Drosophila melanogaster: one gene and its partners. The protein of the gene in region 1 interacts with the protein of each later gene in a biochemical or structural test. Each region holds a gene or a part of one and is shown on either strand. Other genes may lie near its edges. The genes, in order: Rm62, MEP-1 and Fmr1.

Region 1 (5,111 bases):
TCTCGGGTTGTAAGTGGACGTGGACCTAGACTGGGATATTTGTTATGAATCACATTGATTTGATATTTAATAAACTTTAATAAAATAATGCGTAGACCCTTATACATATTCATTCTTGGCTGACCCACCCACCAAACTAACTAAACATATCCATTACTTGCAGGTCCGGGTATACTAGGTTCAATTATGAAAATTTAAGAGATAGATAGAAATGTGTGGGCATGCATACGAATTTTCTTGATCACTAAAAGGTTTGATCTTGCCACATGCGCAAGTGTCATAGAAATATTTTGCTTAACTTAGCAGAGATAGACGTGGTTTAAAGTATTGCCATCTCATATGCACCTGTATAACACTGCTAGATAAAGCAGTGCCTTTACTGCTTGCTAATGCGGTCACTTGGTGATCACACTTATATATTTCCATACCCCAAAGGAGGATAAAATTATAACATACCTGAGAACACCCGGGATCTTTAGTCATCTTTGCAACATGCTTCGTATAAAAACGAAATTGAATATAATCTGTTTTTATTGTTAACTTCACTAAAATAGTTCGTAATGCAATTAGATATATTTATTTATAAAATTATTAATAAGAAACGTATTACTTACCGGTTTTTCATATTTCACTTTAAGAAATTGAGCAAAATCCACTTGACACGTTCTACAATCAAATGCAAATTCAGTGTTCGAAACTTTGCTAGAAGAAGGCTGTAACATTTATTCTTGTATTTTTGAACACTCCCAAGGAAAAGTGCGGCAGGGAATTTTAGTACTGAAGAAGGACATATGAACTGGATGTTTGGGTGGCTACGTGTTATCTGCTATTTTTGTCTTTATCAATTGATTTGTTAAAAATGTCACACAGCAACTCCACCTTTTGGAGAGGGTTCTCTCCGAATTTTAAAACCGATTGACCATGGCCTTTACAGTACAATTACGATATACGATAGTTCGTGGTAAGATATTTAAATAAAGTACAGTGAGGTAGTTGGTAAATTTGTAAGAGCTTACAGATACTCATTTTCATTAAAGTGCCGTAAATTTCAATTTTTGGCATTTTGAAAAATAAGTGCATTCTTTACTGGTGTTAATATATGTGGCTACTTAATCCTCCATAGATGCCATTTTATTTTCCAGCATAATATCTATATTTAGCTATTTCCAATCATAACTATGATTCTTTCAATTTAATTCGCTAAAACTCGAGTGAAATTTTCGATTTCTTTCAGACTCATTTTTTAGATGTAAGCAATAAAATTATGTGTAAATTATAAGATTTCTTTAATAAGTATTACTTTTTATAGACTTGAAATGGTCAACAAGCAAGTTCTATGAAATTTTGAAATTAATGATGAAAATTCTGTGTGTTGTACAATATTATATTTTCTTATAAATAATAGGATATATTTTTCCTTTCAGAATATTGAGCCAACCTTATTTTAATTCTTTAAAATATTAGTAAAAATGATGCGAGATTTGCGCTTTTGGTAGATTTCAAAAAATTTGTATTAATTGAAAATGTTAAATAAACCACAAATGGGGTGAGTCTTTGCTAAATGCTCAACACAGAAAGTTGTTTTATGCTTATATTTGTTAAGGTATATTTACTAATCTCCGCACAGACTACGTTTTGGTAGGCTAGGAAATTTAAGACATTTCCGAATATTAGGAGTACGGACCGACGACGAGATACATTTAAAGTTCGTTTCAGCAGAATCTTAAATATTAAAAACTTAGCGGGCAAGTAAATACACCGCGTTCAGCTGATTATCGATAGCTAGGAAATTTAAGACATTTCCGAATATTAGGAGTACGGACCGACGACGAGATATATTTAAAGTTCGTTTCAGCAGAATCTTAAATATTAAAAACTTAGCGGGCAAGTAAATACACCGCGTTCAGCTGATTATCGATAGCAACCAGGTGGTCACTCTAATAGACGTTTTCATGCGAGCCCGCTGCGGTCACACCAACTTCTCGACCGATTTTTCCCCTCCATCTAGGGTCACTCTAATTTTGGACGAGGTTAGGTAAGACACGCGCGGATGCCGCGCTGCGTAGGATAAATCCGTCATTAGCATAACCGCATTGAAGCTAAGTCTTCGGGAAAATGCTTAAGCTTGTGCAATACATAGCCCCCCGGGTGGGCGGCGCCACGCCCCGACCGACTGCCTGCGGCTGGGGCAACTTGCTATTGATTTCCCCGAGAAGTGGCGCGAGCTCCGAGAAATGTATAACGCAACGTCGCCATTTTCTTTTCTCCTCCGCCAGCAGCAGCGGCACTTTCGCTTCTTCTTCTTCGCTCTGCACCGAACAACGACAACAGTTCCACGGGAGTCGCAGGAATCGTGAGACAATACTGTTCCCAAGCACATATAGTAGTCTCCAAGCTCAGTCGCAGCGTGCGTTTCGAGACAGCTCGAAACCAGATTCAGACGACTACGTAGATTCCATCCCGAAAGCAGAGCAGCGGACGAGGACGAGGAAATCGCTTTTCAACGATCCCGACGAAAGAACTGAGGAAATCAAAATTGAAGGAGTAATGTGAGTACGCCGCAAGATTTCATATGAAATGCGTTGGTTTTTTCCACTCACTGTCGCCATTTTATCACCCTTCGTGCCATTCCTCTTTTTTTTTTTTTTTTTCTGTACACCTACGAAGCGAGGTGATGAGTAATTAGTGTGAGCGAAAGAGAGAGTTTGGGGAGAGAGAGAAAAACACATGGTTTGCTAAATTTTGTCAGTCGGAGGTGAGGTTTTCAGCCATTTGTTGTTTTTTTCTTTGTGTTTGCCCCCGCACATCCGCAAAGGAGTAGCAAAAGCAACAAGAACGACAGCGCACGTCATAAAAAGAATTTGCCTGATTTGTGAAACGTGTTCTTGCTTCGTTTGCTATTTTATAGCGTTTTAATTTGTCTGTATGCCCCGAACATGAACACGCGCACTCACACAGCGGCACATACGGACTTGCTTGTATGCGTGAATGCCTGTTGACGGCGGCATTTTCTCGTGCTCGTAGAACAGTTCGAACAGTGTGTGCGAGCGTATAACAGTCGGCGGCTGTCACTGACTAGCGCCGTCCTGCTCACTCGCCAGCATGCCTTTCCATCACATTCTTTCCATGGCTCACACGAGGTTTTGTAGAGATATCGCGATGTTTTTGGTATTGGCAATTTTATAATTTGATGTAACCATCCCGACATAGATTTATACTTACTATGCTTAATTTGGGAAGTGAATGGGGTTAATGGTTTGCTTCGTTTGGTTATCTAATGCGTACATTGAAATATATAATTTCAGTATAATTCTGTATACTGAGGACAATTTTAGGGAAAAGTAGGGTTATTCTCTTAAAATTTTCTCTACACTATAAGTAAAGGTTCCATGCAAACACATTTAACTTACAGATTATCAAAAATGCATTTTATCGATCATTTTATCTATTTTGCTACGCTCTTTTTGTGTTTACTTATCATGAACCATGCTTGTTATGCAATAAAAATTATTTATTAGAAAGTTATACTATAGTATTGATAAAAACTCAAGTAACAACCAAATATTAAATGGTAATAGTAACCCAGTTCGTGAACTACGCCATCACATAAACGGCCCCATTAGTCTAAAATGTCAAATGACGCCAATTGATTATGAGCTCCCCCTTTGGCGAGCGCGCGATTCGTCTTTTCGCATGTCAAAAAGCGACAGGTAGACACACAGAAAGTCAAAGGTGCCCCCAGGGACTGTCCCCTCCTCCCCTCGGGTGTTTGCCCACCGTTGAAACTAGGGGCAAGACATTTGGCTGTCTCATAAATGTTCAGAGCGTTCCGCTTCGCTAGTTGGGCACAAACGTTAGCGTGCCAGTGGGTCCTACAAATAGACGTTTAGGGCGGTACGGTGTTCCAAATTGACAGAGTAATAGACAAAAAAAAACGTGGGCCTGGATCGTGGGTGATTTGCATGGTGCACCCCATAGTGATGCCCACTAGGATCACGAAAATGGAGCTTACATACGAAGTAAAGCGAATATAAAGTGGAAATTTATAGAAGTTAGTTCGTAACACAATAAACATAATTTATGTTGTAAATTTTGTTTTATACAACTTTACCATCCAACTTAATCTTGCACTATATTTATTACCACATTGTATATACACTCCGCAGAGTTAATATTATTTTTCCCTAATTATTGCAAAGTGCTAACATATATAGGTCGGTACCTTCGCCAGTTCTGACTGGAACTAGAACTGCGCCAGGTTGATTAATGCCAGAGCAATAAACGCAGGGCTTTGTACATGGGGCTGTTTAGTTTAGTTGAGCATTTAGGGGCTGATAAACTGGGGTGAAAAATTGGTGGGAGGGTGGGCTGTGAATAGAAACCCTGCTCGAATTGCATGTTGTTGTCAATCAAATTTGCCTTACTGTTTGCATTATTCGAAATTTATTTAATTTCCCTAACACGCAATTAGTTTTTATTTAAGTTTATTGCGGTTGTAGCACAGCACAACTCCCATGTCAGCTGTTTAGCAGCGTCGAAAGAAATCGAAAAGCGAAGACTTACCTTCCAAGCCAAGTCGCAGTTGAAATCCAAGTCCCAACTGGCAGACGTCTAGAAACGGCAGCATGCGAGCAAAGTAAGCCAAGTCACTCGTTTCTTTTTTTCCTCAATTTTCTGTCAAAGAAATACTTAAGAAAAGAAAGTGCAGCTGTCTACGCCGAGCCGGAAAAAATGATTCCAGTTAAGCATGGTTTAATTCTCGAAGGTCCCTTTTATCAAGGGAAAATTTATGACACACAGTTTCTGGGTAATGTGTGTGCAGCGCAAAATTATTTTAGATGGCAGATAAGGAGGAATTGATTATACAAATGTACAACGCGAAATTAAAAAGTTTGTGAGAAAACTATCAAACTATATCAACTTCAGCGAAATTCGGTTACAAAGCTCAAAGTGGGATATTTTCTTAAAGATTCCACTGAATTCACGGCAGCGAAATAACAAGTCGTGAAGTCGTTCAATTTCCATGAATAAGGAAAAGGCCCTTGATACTTGACACTAAGTAAACTTCGGCAATGCAAGATAAGCATATTAGAATTAAATTACTTTAATCT
Region 2 (5,085 bases), on another chromosome or scaffold:
ATCATTAAAGACCCCGAACTCAAACCCAAACCCCAACTTTATGTTATACATACACGTGACCCTTTTCGATATCGAGTAAATTAGCCAATTCATATTTTCCAGTGCAAATTTACAAAGTTAAGCGGAAATTACTGTGGCAGTTGGGTCTTAATATCTTAGAGGTGAAGTCAATTGAATCGAAAGTAAAGATACAAGATACTAATTTAAGAGATTGATCGCATGTATCAAAAAGGACTTTACCACATTTCTTCTAATCAAGTGATTAAATTATAAGATATTAGGTATCAGAGTTTAGATAATCCTGTTGTCCGAGGACTTTCTCTAGCAGATTTCGGACTTTGATCAAGATTTAAGATCAATCTGTATTGGGATTGAATATCAAACCCAACTAAGAACTCACAATTGAAATGGAAAAATGTAACATTAGATACATTAAAAAAAAGAAGAAAATAACATAAAATTTCACCACAAATATTCGGTTTTGAGTCACTAATATTTTTCCAAGTAGTATGATTCACGTAAAGTACATTACGTGATAATAATAAATATAATTAGTATGCTAATAATTTACTTAAAACGTGTAACACTTATTTAAAAAACATAAATTTGGAAAAGCTTTAGGAAAAAATCATGTTGTAGGAATCTAAGGGATCTTTAAAGAATTCTATAATTATTTTTACGATCGACGTGTCAAAACCATGATCTAATCTCAATGATTCATTTCTAAATAACAATAAATCAGCAATACATGCATATGTTTAATGCAAAAACTCAAATATATACTATATCATATCAACTTGAGTATACAGTTTAGTTCTTTGGTGAAAAATCTACAATCTATGATGACAGCGTCATTGCGAGTTGGATTTTAACACATACATATGGAAACCCCATTATTAAACTCATAAATTCACATGGCAACAAAGAAATACAAAGCATAGTTAACAATCATTTGCTGTTTTTGACCTGAATTTCTCACCTTAATCATTCGCTGCAGGTTAACTTGGTTGGTTCAACTTATAGCCAGATAACTAAGGTGTGATCTTCAATCCTCGGCAGTCTCGTCCTCCTCGTCCTCGTTGAAGGACAGCTTACTACTGGCGGCCTTGGACTTCTTGCTCTTGGATGTGCTGGATTTTTCGGACTTCTTGTTGGTTTCAGATTGGGACTCTTTTTTCTCGATGTTGGGCTGCTTGACACAGTGTTTGAAGACTATTGGCTGCGTCAGATCCGCTCGCTTTTCGGCTAATTCTGGAAGATTGAAAATGGGAGTTAGTTATGGGTCAGCAATCATCTGTACTTATTATGATCGTAGTAAAGCGTGTAAGTAAACACCTATTTACAAGTTAAATGGAGTATTTAAGTTATATAAACTATCTTAGAATGAAAAATATTTTGGGGAAAGTAGTATGCACAAATTTAGGGAGAAAAATGCCAATACATATATCAAAGCTGATATAAATAAAATAAATTTAAAAATTGCATTAACTAAAAGGAATACAAGAAAGTTTTTGAAAATTGATCTGCTTATAAAATTGCCAGGAAGGTGACTAATATGCCAGCAATTCATTATTGGATTGGAAAATGTATCTGGGTTTTAAAAACTGCAGCATGACAAATGGGGAGGAGGGAGGTGTAAATCAGAACAAGCCACCCACCGACCCCCCCCTTTTCCAAGCAGCACCCACAAGATGTTTTTCTCGGCCCTGGGAAGCCCCTTCTCGCCCGACGCTCCCGCTTCACTCCCCCTCCCGCTCCACCCACTGATTCGCAACCCGCCCCCGCTGTTCCGCCAGCCCCTTCTTCAACGCCTACCCCCTCCCCGCAGCGCCTTTGCCACCGCCACCACGTCGTCAAGCCACTTTGGCCCGCTCTTTTCCTCTTTGCTCGCCTGCTTCGTTCATCATTGTCTCTCCGCTTTGCCCGCCTCCTTCATCCGTTCGTTCTTGCACACGTTGTTTTCACCCGATTTTCTGCGCTCTTCCAAGTGGGGCTGAAAGGGGCAGGGGGGCGAGCGGAAGAGGCGGACAAAGCGAGCGGCGGCAGCTGCTGTTGTTAACTTCTTTGCCGGCTGCTTTATCGCCGCGCCCGCTTTGCCAACGATTTTCATCACATGCTCTGCTTTGGCGGAGCCCCCAATGAAAATGTCAGTGTGTATGCCTCGTCGGCTAGCTGCTGCGGGTGTGTGTGTCTGTGTGAGGGGTGCTCCGCTGGGCAAAAAAGGGAATCTTTAGGACGGAAATGACCAAGATTGCCATGGCAACATAGGGCTTTAAAAAGATTGAAAAACCGAAGGTGCTTTTCGAAAAAAAAAACACATACTTCTTGCAACAAACTGCTGTTTTCGCACTACCGTTAGATTTTCATTTGGCAAAAATGCACAAGCACACGCGCGCACTCATACATAAGCAACGGTATATACGCAGTTATGTATATATACATATATGATTTAGATATATGTAACGCCGGGCAGAAGAAGACAACCGCTCGATTCTGACTGAAAAGTTAAACTGAAAGACAAACTACAACATCCTACCTACGCACACACGTGCAACTGCCGCCGCCGCCACCGTGGGCTATATGCATGTGTGTGTGCGTGTGCGAGCGTGTAAGTATGTATGTACTACAGCGATATGTATGTATGTATGCTTGTACATATGTACCGACCTTTGGAGGCCAACAGTTTCTCCGTTTTGGCCTCTTCGGCGGATAGATCTCCCGGCCTAAGGACGACCACCTGCGGCTGTTCGTCCTCCCGTGAATCTTCCTCAGAATCGTAGTCCTCCTGGTCCTGCGGATCCAATCGCTGACGCTAACCAATGGTTATATATCCGCATTAGAATGCTGCAGAGGCCTTCCCCGTAGAACTCACCTTGGTCTCTACGGTGGGTCCCTCCTTGTAGCCAATTTCAGCCTTCAACTTGGCCAGAAAACTAGGTTCTTGCGGCTTTACGTACGTTATGTTGCGCTTGGACATATCAGATATGGCGGCTATATCATTGCACTTCTTGACCGATTTAGCAGCGGTTTTTGCACTTTTTATTTACCACAAATGTCGATAAGAAAAACATATGCTTATCGAGCAGTGTGGGAAAGCGCGCGTTGACAATACTAAATCGATTTCAACTGCTATACTTTAAAGTAACGTAAGACAATTGTAAATCCAGTTTTAATAGTTATAATGTTAAAGTTTAAGCTTGCTCTTTTAATATTATTAGTCCCAATTTTTGAGTCCTTGATATTTATCGATAGCACCGATAAGTAACAGCTGTACTGCCGTGTGCATAGTGCTGCCTGAAAACCAATTGTAGATGGGCAGCACTGTTAGGCAAAAGCGGTTACTTTTTGAAAATGCTTACTGTTGATAAAGAGTTAATATTTCTTAAAAATTTCTATAAATATATAATATTTATCCTATTATTTTTGATGCATTTCTTTAAGTATCTTAAGTTCCCATTTCCAACTGGCATTTCCGCTGAGAAAACCGATTGCCCCGAGACGTGCCATCAATTTGCGAATCCTCGCTGCCAATCAAAAAATGGGCGCATAAAACTGTCGCATAACTTGCAAATTTTCCGCTTCACCTGGAATTCCGTGCTCCAAAACAGAAATTTGATCGCTTCTGACAGCAAAACAATACACAGCGGCATTCATCAACGTCAGTGGCTTCCATTTGCAATGTCGTATGCACAGACTCCTCCTCGATTGAAGCCCCCTATTCGTTCCTGGGAACATAATAAATCATCTGCAAATTGATTTCAAAACTTCGACAGCTAACCAAAAAAGAGCTGCCGAAAAAAAAAGGCAAATGAAAACTGCAGCAAAGCGGAGAAATTTTATGAGCTGCAGCATATGTTGGCAAAAACACAAATAGGATGCACTGAGAAAACAGCGTTTCATATATTTAGTTTAGTTATAAATAAAATACGTGAGAGGAGCTAAACAAAAGTTTTTTTTTTTTGGTTTTTTTTTTGCATAAACCCAAACAAATATCTGTAGACTGACAGATAGAGAAGAATTAAATTAGTGTCATATCCAGTGAAAAATATGACAATAAAACATAAATTTATATTTCAAATATATTCCTTTTGTTTTTCCGTGAACGAATTCCCCATGAAAAACTCCGATTTCTGCATTCTGGCACGCGGCAGCAGCTTTTCCCCCGAAGGATTTTCGTCGGTCCCCGAACTAATATCAAATTGATAGCTTTTAAATTTGATTTCGCGTCTTATCACCGACCGCTTAAGCGAACAGTTTCGGAGCTGCAGCCCCCAATCGCTACGCAATCCACAGCGATGGTTGGAAAAACAAATGGAGTGTGGCCGGGTGGAGGGAGCACCCCCTCATGCATTAAAAATGAGGATGGCAGGGCATTTGATGCTGTGCAAGTGCAACGTGGCGTATGCTTGTTGTGTTTTGTTTTGCTCGCTTTGCGTCCGCATTGAAAATACATTGAAAATGCCGGTGCAACACAAGTGTTTCGGCCTTGATACGGATACGATGCTATATGCTGGATATAGAGTCATCCATCCGACCGTCCCATTCAGAATCCATAGGCTTCAAGTCACATGCCGGCCAACTAATATCGAGCACTCTTGAGAACGCAGAGCCTCAGGAAAATGTTATCACAGTCTGCATCCGGCACGGAGTCCTCCGCCTCTGCCGAAGTGCAACTCGGCGATTCGGTTCAAATTCCGCTTTACAGTCTCTGCTCCTCGGCGCTCAGATGCTAGTCGGCATTTGGCGCGTGCAGTTCAGTTCAGTTCACTCGGTCGAAAATTGCCCGGACTCGTTTAATAGCGGAATATCGTTCTAAAATTAAACATTTCGCGGAGGCACTGAGAGAAAACTATCGCTCGAATCGCTAGTAATTCGGTAATTTTGCTTAGCAAAGCGAGGACCAGAAATAGGAAGAAAATATTTGTTAAAATAAAAAAAATAGTTGTCTAATGCCCAAAACAATAGTGTTGGAAAACAAATGAACAAATTTGTAAAATCCAAGATAGTATTGAAGAAAAAAAGAATTTTTTAAATATTCCCTTTGGAATTAGATAGGAAATAGATTGGATTACTAAAAATTATATT
Region 3 (5,108 bases), 4.1 Mb from region 1:
ATGCTAAACGAACGGTAATTACCAGCTGGGCGAGAGCGCGGGAGCACGCCGCTCTCTCCCACACTCGCGAAAATGTACACCGAGGAAAAAAAGTGCGTTCGAAGAAATGATGGAAAAATTATAAAATTAATATAAATGAAATTTTATTACCCCAATTTTTCATATTTAACACGAGGCAGTTATTAGTTATGATATGTTTATTCTGCTATTTAAAGGTATTAAAATATACACTGTTTTTGCACTTGGACTTAGAAATAATTAGCAAGGGAATGATACTACCTGGTTTTTTAGAAGGATGATCTCATCTTTTTTAACCATTAAACAAAAGAAAAAATAAATTTAACTTTCGTATTAAGGGTATTGTTGCTCAGAATTTGCTCCAGCAATTTGAGAATGACTAAACTTATTGAATTTTATTTCTATTAATATTCACACTTATGCGCGAATTCTTTATGTTACTATAATTACAAATGCAGTGAACACCTTTTATAAGGAATGTATTATCTTATTTATTATTGAAAAATTTACTTGCCCGAATATTCCTCGCAGTGTATTTTACGTCGAGAGGAAGTGACGTACCTGTCACGATCGAGATTGTCACATTTTGGCAAATAAATTTCACTTGATCCCTCCACGCGGTTAAAATTAGAATTTAAATTAATTTAGTGCCCGAAGTGACCAATTGTTGCACTGCAATTGCACCCGAACCGAATCGTTTCAAATCCGATCGCGAAACGAACATAATGCTAATTGAGCGGGACAAATTCTGGGGTGCGAGCGAGATGGCTAGATGCGAGAGGAGGAGGGGCTGTCGTCGCTGAACTTTCGCTCTTTTGTTGGCCATGTCGACGTCATTAAAGTGCAGTTAATGTGCCAAAAGGTAGAACAAAAGTCAATGTCAAACGGCAGCTGCTCTCATTTTCCTCGGCAGTGGAAAAGCGGTTGAAATAGGGGTGGTTAACTGGTGGGCAAGGGCGCGGGAAAATCAAATCAGAAACTGCATTTCCGCAACAAATCGCCGCTTGACAGTAATTACCGTCAACACGAGCGGTAATTTATGACTATCGAATTGCGAATCTTGATACCCTGTATGGAAAATTGTTATGGGATTTTAACGGAATCTGCCTGCAAATAGGCTGGGAAATGCGAAAATGGCGAGTAGAGGGTATTGCCTTTGCACAGAGACACAGAATTTCCAACTATTCACAGGCATATAAAGGATTTAATGGTTCCCATTAACTGACTGGCCATGAATTTTTATAATTTGTTGGCCCATTTTCACCACACAAATGCCTAAATGGCATGCGATTTAAATACAGGCGAGCTTTTAGACTTGCCCACTTATTAATCAAGAGTAAAGTTCACAAATATAATTCATAAATCTTATTAAGTAGTTCCAAGCAAATATGTGGTTTCATCCTAAATGGAGTACTCCGTCAGATTTCTGCTGTCCGATCCGCTGAAAATTGATGGAAATTGGATTACAAATAGACCGCACTGCACCTTTATCGGCCACTCATAATCAAATGCGTTTCATGAATGGAAGGGCAAAATAAGAAAAAAAAAATAGTAAAAAGCAAATTCAACAAGCGTGTTGACAAAAAGCGCCAGCGACGTCACGCGATTTGGGGGCAATCAAAGGGGCAAATAAAACACCGCATGTGGCAAATTGCGCCCACTGTTGACCCCAGCAGTCGTTGCAATTACATAGACAATTACATTAACATTAAGGCGTAGTGGTCAGCAGTTCTGCAAATTAAAATCGAATCGAATCAATTGAAAAGCCACCAAACATGCGAATCAATCTGCTGATGGGCTAGCAATTCAATTACGTTGTTAGCAGACAGCAAACTAAGTGAGCAGTCAATAGTGTTCGGTTCGTCGACTTCATTTAAATTTTAAATGATCTTATCAGCTTTTTGAATTTCGAATCGTAACCGCCTAGCGCGCTTAAAATACAACCCTGTTTATTGTGAACCCACAACTTATAGTCACTCTGGCAAGGCCCGGTGAGCTGTCACTTAGCAGCCTTGCCACTTTACTGTCAGATCATTTTTCTCTCGCTTTCAAACAAGCCCTGTGTTATAGAGCACAAATCATTTATCAAAAATTTCGTATCTTATTTTCACAAATTTATCGCTTGGGCCAAACACGCCCGAAATCTAGCCAAAACCATCCGAAGTGGCCAGTAACGCGCGCCGATTGTAAACGGGTGGCAACTCCAGTAGAACGTTGCCGAGCTGCGAAAGTGTGCAAAAGCAAAACGAAGAGAACGCAGCGCAGCCGAAAAAAATTGAAGCAGCACTGCACGCGATATATTTTGTATTTTCAAAGGTTAAAGCCGCATTCACAGGCATCCGCCGAGGGCAAACGAAGTGCAAAAGTGCCGGCCAGCAGTAAGTTTTCAAAAATTTGCAGTCTCTTGTGTATTACAGCCGCAAAAAGTGTTGAAAAAATTTTGCAAGAACCGAAAAAAACCAAAAAATTTTGCACATCGTCGGCGGCTGCGACGTCGACGACAGCAGCGACGCCGCCTCTCTGCCGGCAGCGGCAGCAAAAGGGAGCAGCTGAAAGAGGAAAACCGATAAAATACAAAAAGAAAAGTAGAGAACGAGAACGAGAAAAACGGCGAGCGGCTACGCAACGCTGATGTTTCTTCTCTTTGAGAAAAGCGAAAATCGAAAGCAAGTGTGGAAATTATGTGTAAATTCGATATGTAAATTCGGCATGTGCCGTTCGTAGTGTGCGTACAAATTCTTATTGGAAAAGCGTGTTCATCGGTGTGAACGAACGAACGAAGCATTTCGGCGGCGAGAGAGAGAGAAAAAGAGAGCGAGAGCGCACACGCTTGGTGGTGGTCATGTGTGTGTGAGGCGGCGGGCTCACACACACAAAGGGAGAGAGACAAAGAAGAAGAGGAAGCACTGCGCTGCTGCGCTGCCGGCAAAGCCGACGTCGCTGCCGGCTTCGCCGCCAGCTGCATTTAGTGTTTAGCTAGGAATTATCTGGCCCCCAAAATAACTTCAAAATTTTCTTCAACTATTTTTTTTATTAGTGTGTCAATATATAGTCTCCCTCTCCAGATACAAAAATTCAAAAATACCAAAAACAAAACCATTCCATATTATTATTGATTACAGGCAACATTTGAAGCAGCAGCCGCCAAGCAAAAGACTGATTTGAGTACAAGGAACTAGAAGCAGGAACGCGAGGTTTCTGCCACTGCACACTGAATTGTGAGCATACCCACCCATACCTAGCTATATCTATAGCCCTAATATCTCCATTCTTCCCCCTCAGGAGCCCCAGATAACGCGGCAAACTGCAGTCGACGGGGAAAAGTCGGGAGTTGAAGGCTGGGCAGCATCAGCATCAGCAGCAGGAGGGACAGGGACGGACGGCGAAGAACCACCAGAACCAGAACCAAAACAAAGCGGATAAACCAGGAGGCACTACGTCTGGCGATATGGAAGATCTCCTCGTGGAAGTTCGGCTCGACAATGGCGCCTACTACAAGGTGAGTTGATTCAATTGGTGGAATAAAAATGTTGGTAAGGGGGTGACAAAAAAAAAGAAGGAAAAACAGAGGAGCAAGGAGTTGGGGCAGCAGCTGCCTCAGTTTCTAATTTCGTGGATTTTAGCTTTATTTCTATTAATAAACAGCAACATTTTGAGTGGAGTCTCGACATCATCGCCACCACCACCACCACTACCACTACCACTACTACACTAATACCAGCACCATCGCCAATCTGCATACACCAACGCACTCACGCACACTGCGTTGTGGGGGTGCCGACGTCGACGTCGATGTCGATGTCGACGCGGACCGCGCCGCCCACTGCGCTGCCCACTGACGTCGTCGTGCATTCGGTTTTGTTGTTTTGATGATTTCCCTTTCTTGTCGTTGCAATTTATAAAGATAAGATCCGATTAAACCATCTTATATCGCGGTTAAGTGATTTTCGCGGATAGATTACAGGTATACGAGGTTGTTAGATCTCGAATCATTAGTCTTATGAACGAAGTTCAGTCTTAAATCCCATTCATAATGCTAGCTTTTGATGTGTTTTATTGTTCACTGTTTAAACAAATTCAGCAAAAATGTATGCTTATAGGCTTAAATTTTCCAATGATAATATAGACATTTTGGAAACCAGATAACAGTGCACTTAAGAATATTCTTATACTTTCAATTATTGTTCTTAGTACTTATCCCCATCATTAGCTAACCTATTCTGGAAACCTTCTGGATATGTATAGTAAGGTAGTGAATACTTTGCATAGCGTTGCCTTTGATTTCAGTGCTTGGAATCAAAACAAGGGCAATGCACATAAACACACTCGACTAGAGCGACTTCCCTGATGCTGATGATTCAGCTGTCGGCTGTTTGCATTTCGGATAAGGTTCTACGACTACTCGCTTATCGGAGATATACGGTTTCCCTCGCTAATGCCATTGCAATTCTCGATTTCACAATGGGACGGGATTGGGGGGACTATCGTAAAAATATATTTTATATACTTATGCATATACACACATCCGAATGGAGGTATATCATAGGCAATGGCCACATTAATGACACACATTTTTCTCTCTCTACTCCTATGCCTTCCGATGCTGGCCCTGTCAATGCTCTTGTATTTCATCCGTTTGCTGCCTGCCTGCCGCCAACAAAAAACTACAACTGCAAACTAAAAACTACGACGACGACGACAACAACAACAACAGGGCCAGGTGACAGCTGTCGCCGATGATGGCATCTTTGTGGATGTGGACGGGTAAGTTTGTTTAAACAAACAAATCTGCGAACAGGGCAAACAACAACAACTAGAGCGTATTTTCTAACTAATTTGCAACGATTAATACAATCAGAGCTGCAGCAGGAGCAGCAACAACCACCGACGCGACTTCTTGGCATCCGAATTAGAAATTAGAGATTCTGGGCACGCATCATTTGTGTCGTCCGCCATCCGCCAAACCACTTCCCGCCGAATCCCCTACTGCGGACTCACTAATTTGGCGCAATTTGTTAAACGCCAGACGCCGCTGCAGCAGTTTCTGTTGCTATTAGTTGATAAAAAAGAAAAAAAAAATGAGCCAAATC

The links.
Region 2: the proteins of Rm62 (region 1) and MEP-1 form a complex in vitro, tested with the Drosophila melanogaster proteins (one study listed by BioGRID).
Region 3: the proteins of Rm62 (region 1) and Fmr1 form a complex in vitro, tested with the Drosophila melanogaster proteins (one study listed by BioGRID).

Annotation. Positions count from the first base shown.
Region 1 is NT_033777.3:6,005,475-6,010,585, reverse strand, and holds the start of Rm62 (Rm62), read left to right. Parts: upstream 1-2,012; 5' UTR 2,013-2,115; coding exon 2,116-2,549; intron 2,550-2,857; exon of another isoform or gene 2,858-3,140; intron 3,141-4,471; exon of another isoform or gene 4,472-4,625; coding exon of another isoform or gene 4,626-4,636; intron 4,637-5,111. Other genes in the region: CG10280 (uncharacterized protein), read left to right, coding at 1-13. UniProt on the Drosophila melanogaster protein: As an RNA helicase, unwinds RNA and alters RNA structures through ATP binding and hydrolysis. Involved in multiple cellular processes, including pre-mRNA splicing, alternative splicing, rRNA processing and miRNA processing, as well as transcription regulation.
Region 2 is NT_037436.4:2,629,704-2,634,788, reverse strand, and holds the start of MEP-1 (MEP-1), read right to left. Parts: upstream 3,075-5,085; 5' UTR 2,978-3,074; coding exon of another isoform or gene 2,873-2,977; exon of another isoform or gene 2,813-2,872; coding exon of another isoform or gene 2,668-2,812; intron 2,515-2,667; exon of another isoform or gene 2,323-2,514; intron 1,252-2,322; coding exon of another isoform or gene 1,046-1,251; 5' UTR 980-1,045; intron 1-979. Other genes in the region: CG42245 (uncharacterized protein), read right to left, coding at 1,046-1,251, 2,668-2,812, 2,873-2,977.
Region 3 is NT_033777.3:10,107,104-10,112,211, reverse strand, and holds the start of Fmr1 (fragile X messenger ribonucleoprotein 1), read left to right. Parts: upstream 1-2,090; 5' UTR 2,091-2,396; intron 2,397-2,603; exon of another isoform or gene 2,604-2,688; intron 2,689-2,988; exon of another isoform or gene 2,989-3,140; 5' UTR 3,141-3,236; intron 3,237-3,300; 5' UTR 3,301-3,322; coding exon 3,323-3,517; intron 3,518-3,869; exon of another isoform or gene 3,870-3,982; intron 3,983-4,732; coding exon 4,733-4,782; intron 4,783-5,108. UniProt on the Drosophila melanogaster protein: Polyribosome-associated RNA-binding protein that plays a role in neuronal development and synaptic plasticity through the regulation of protein synthesis of mRNAs.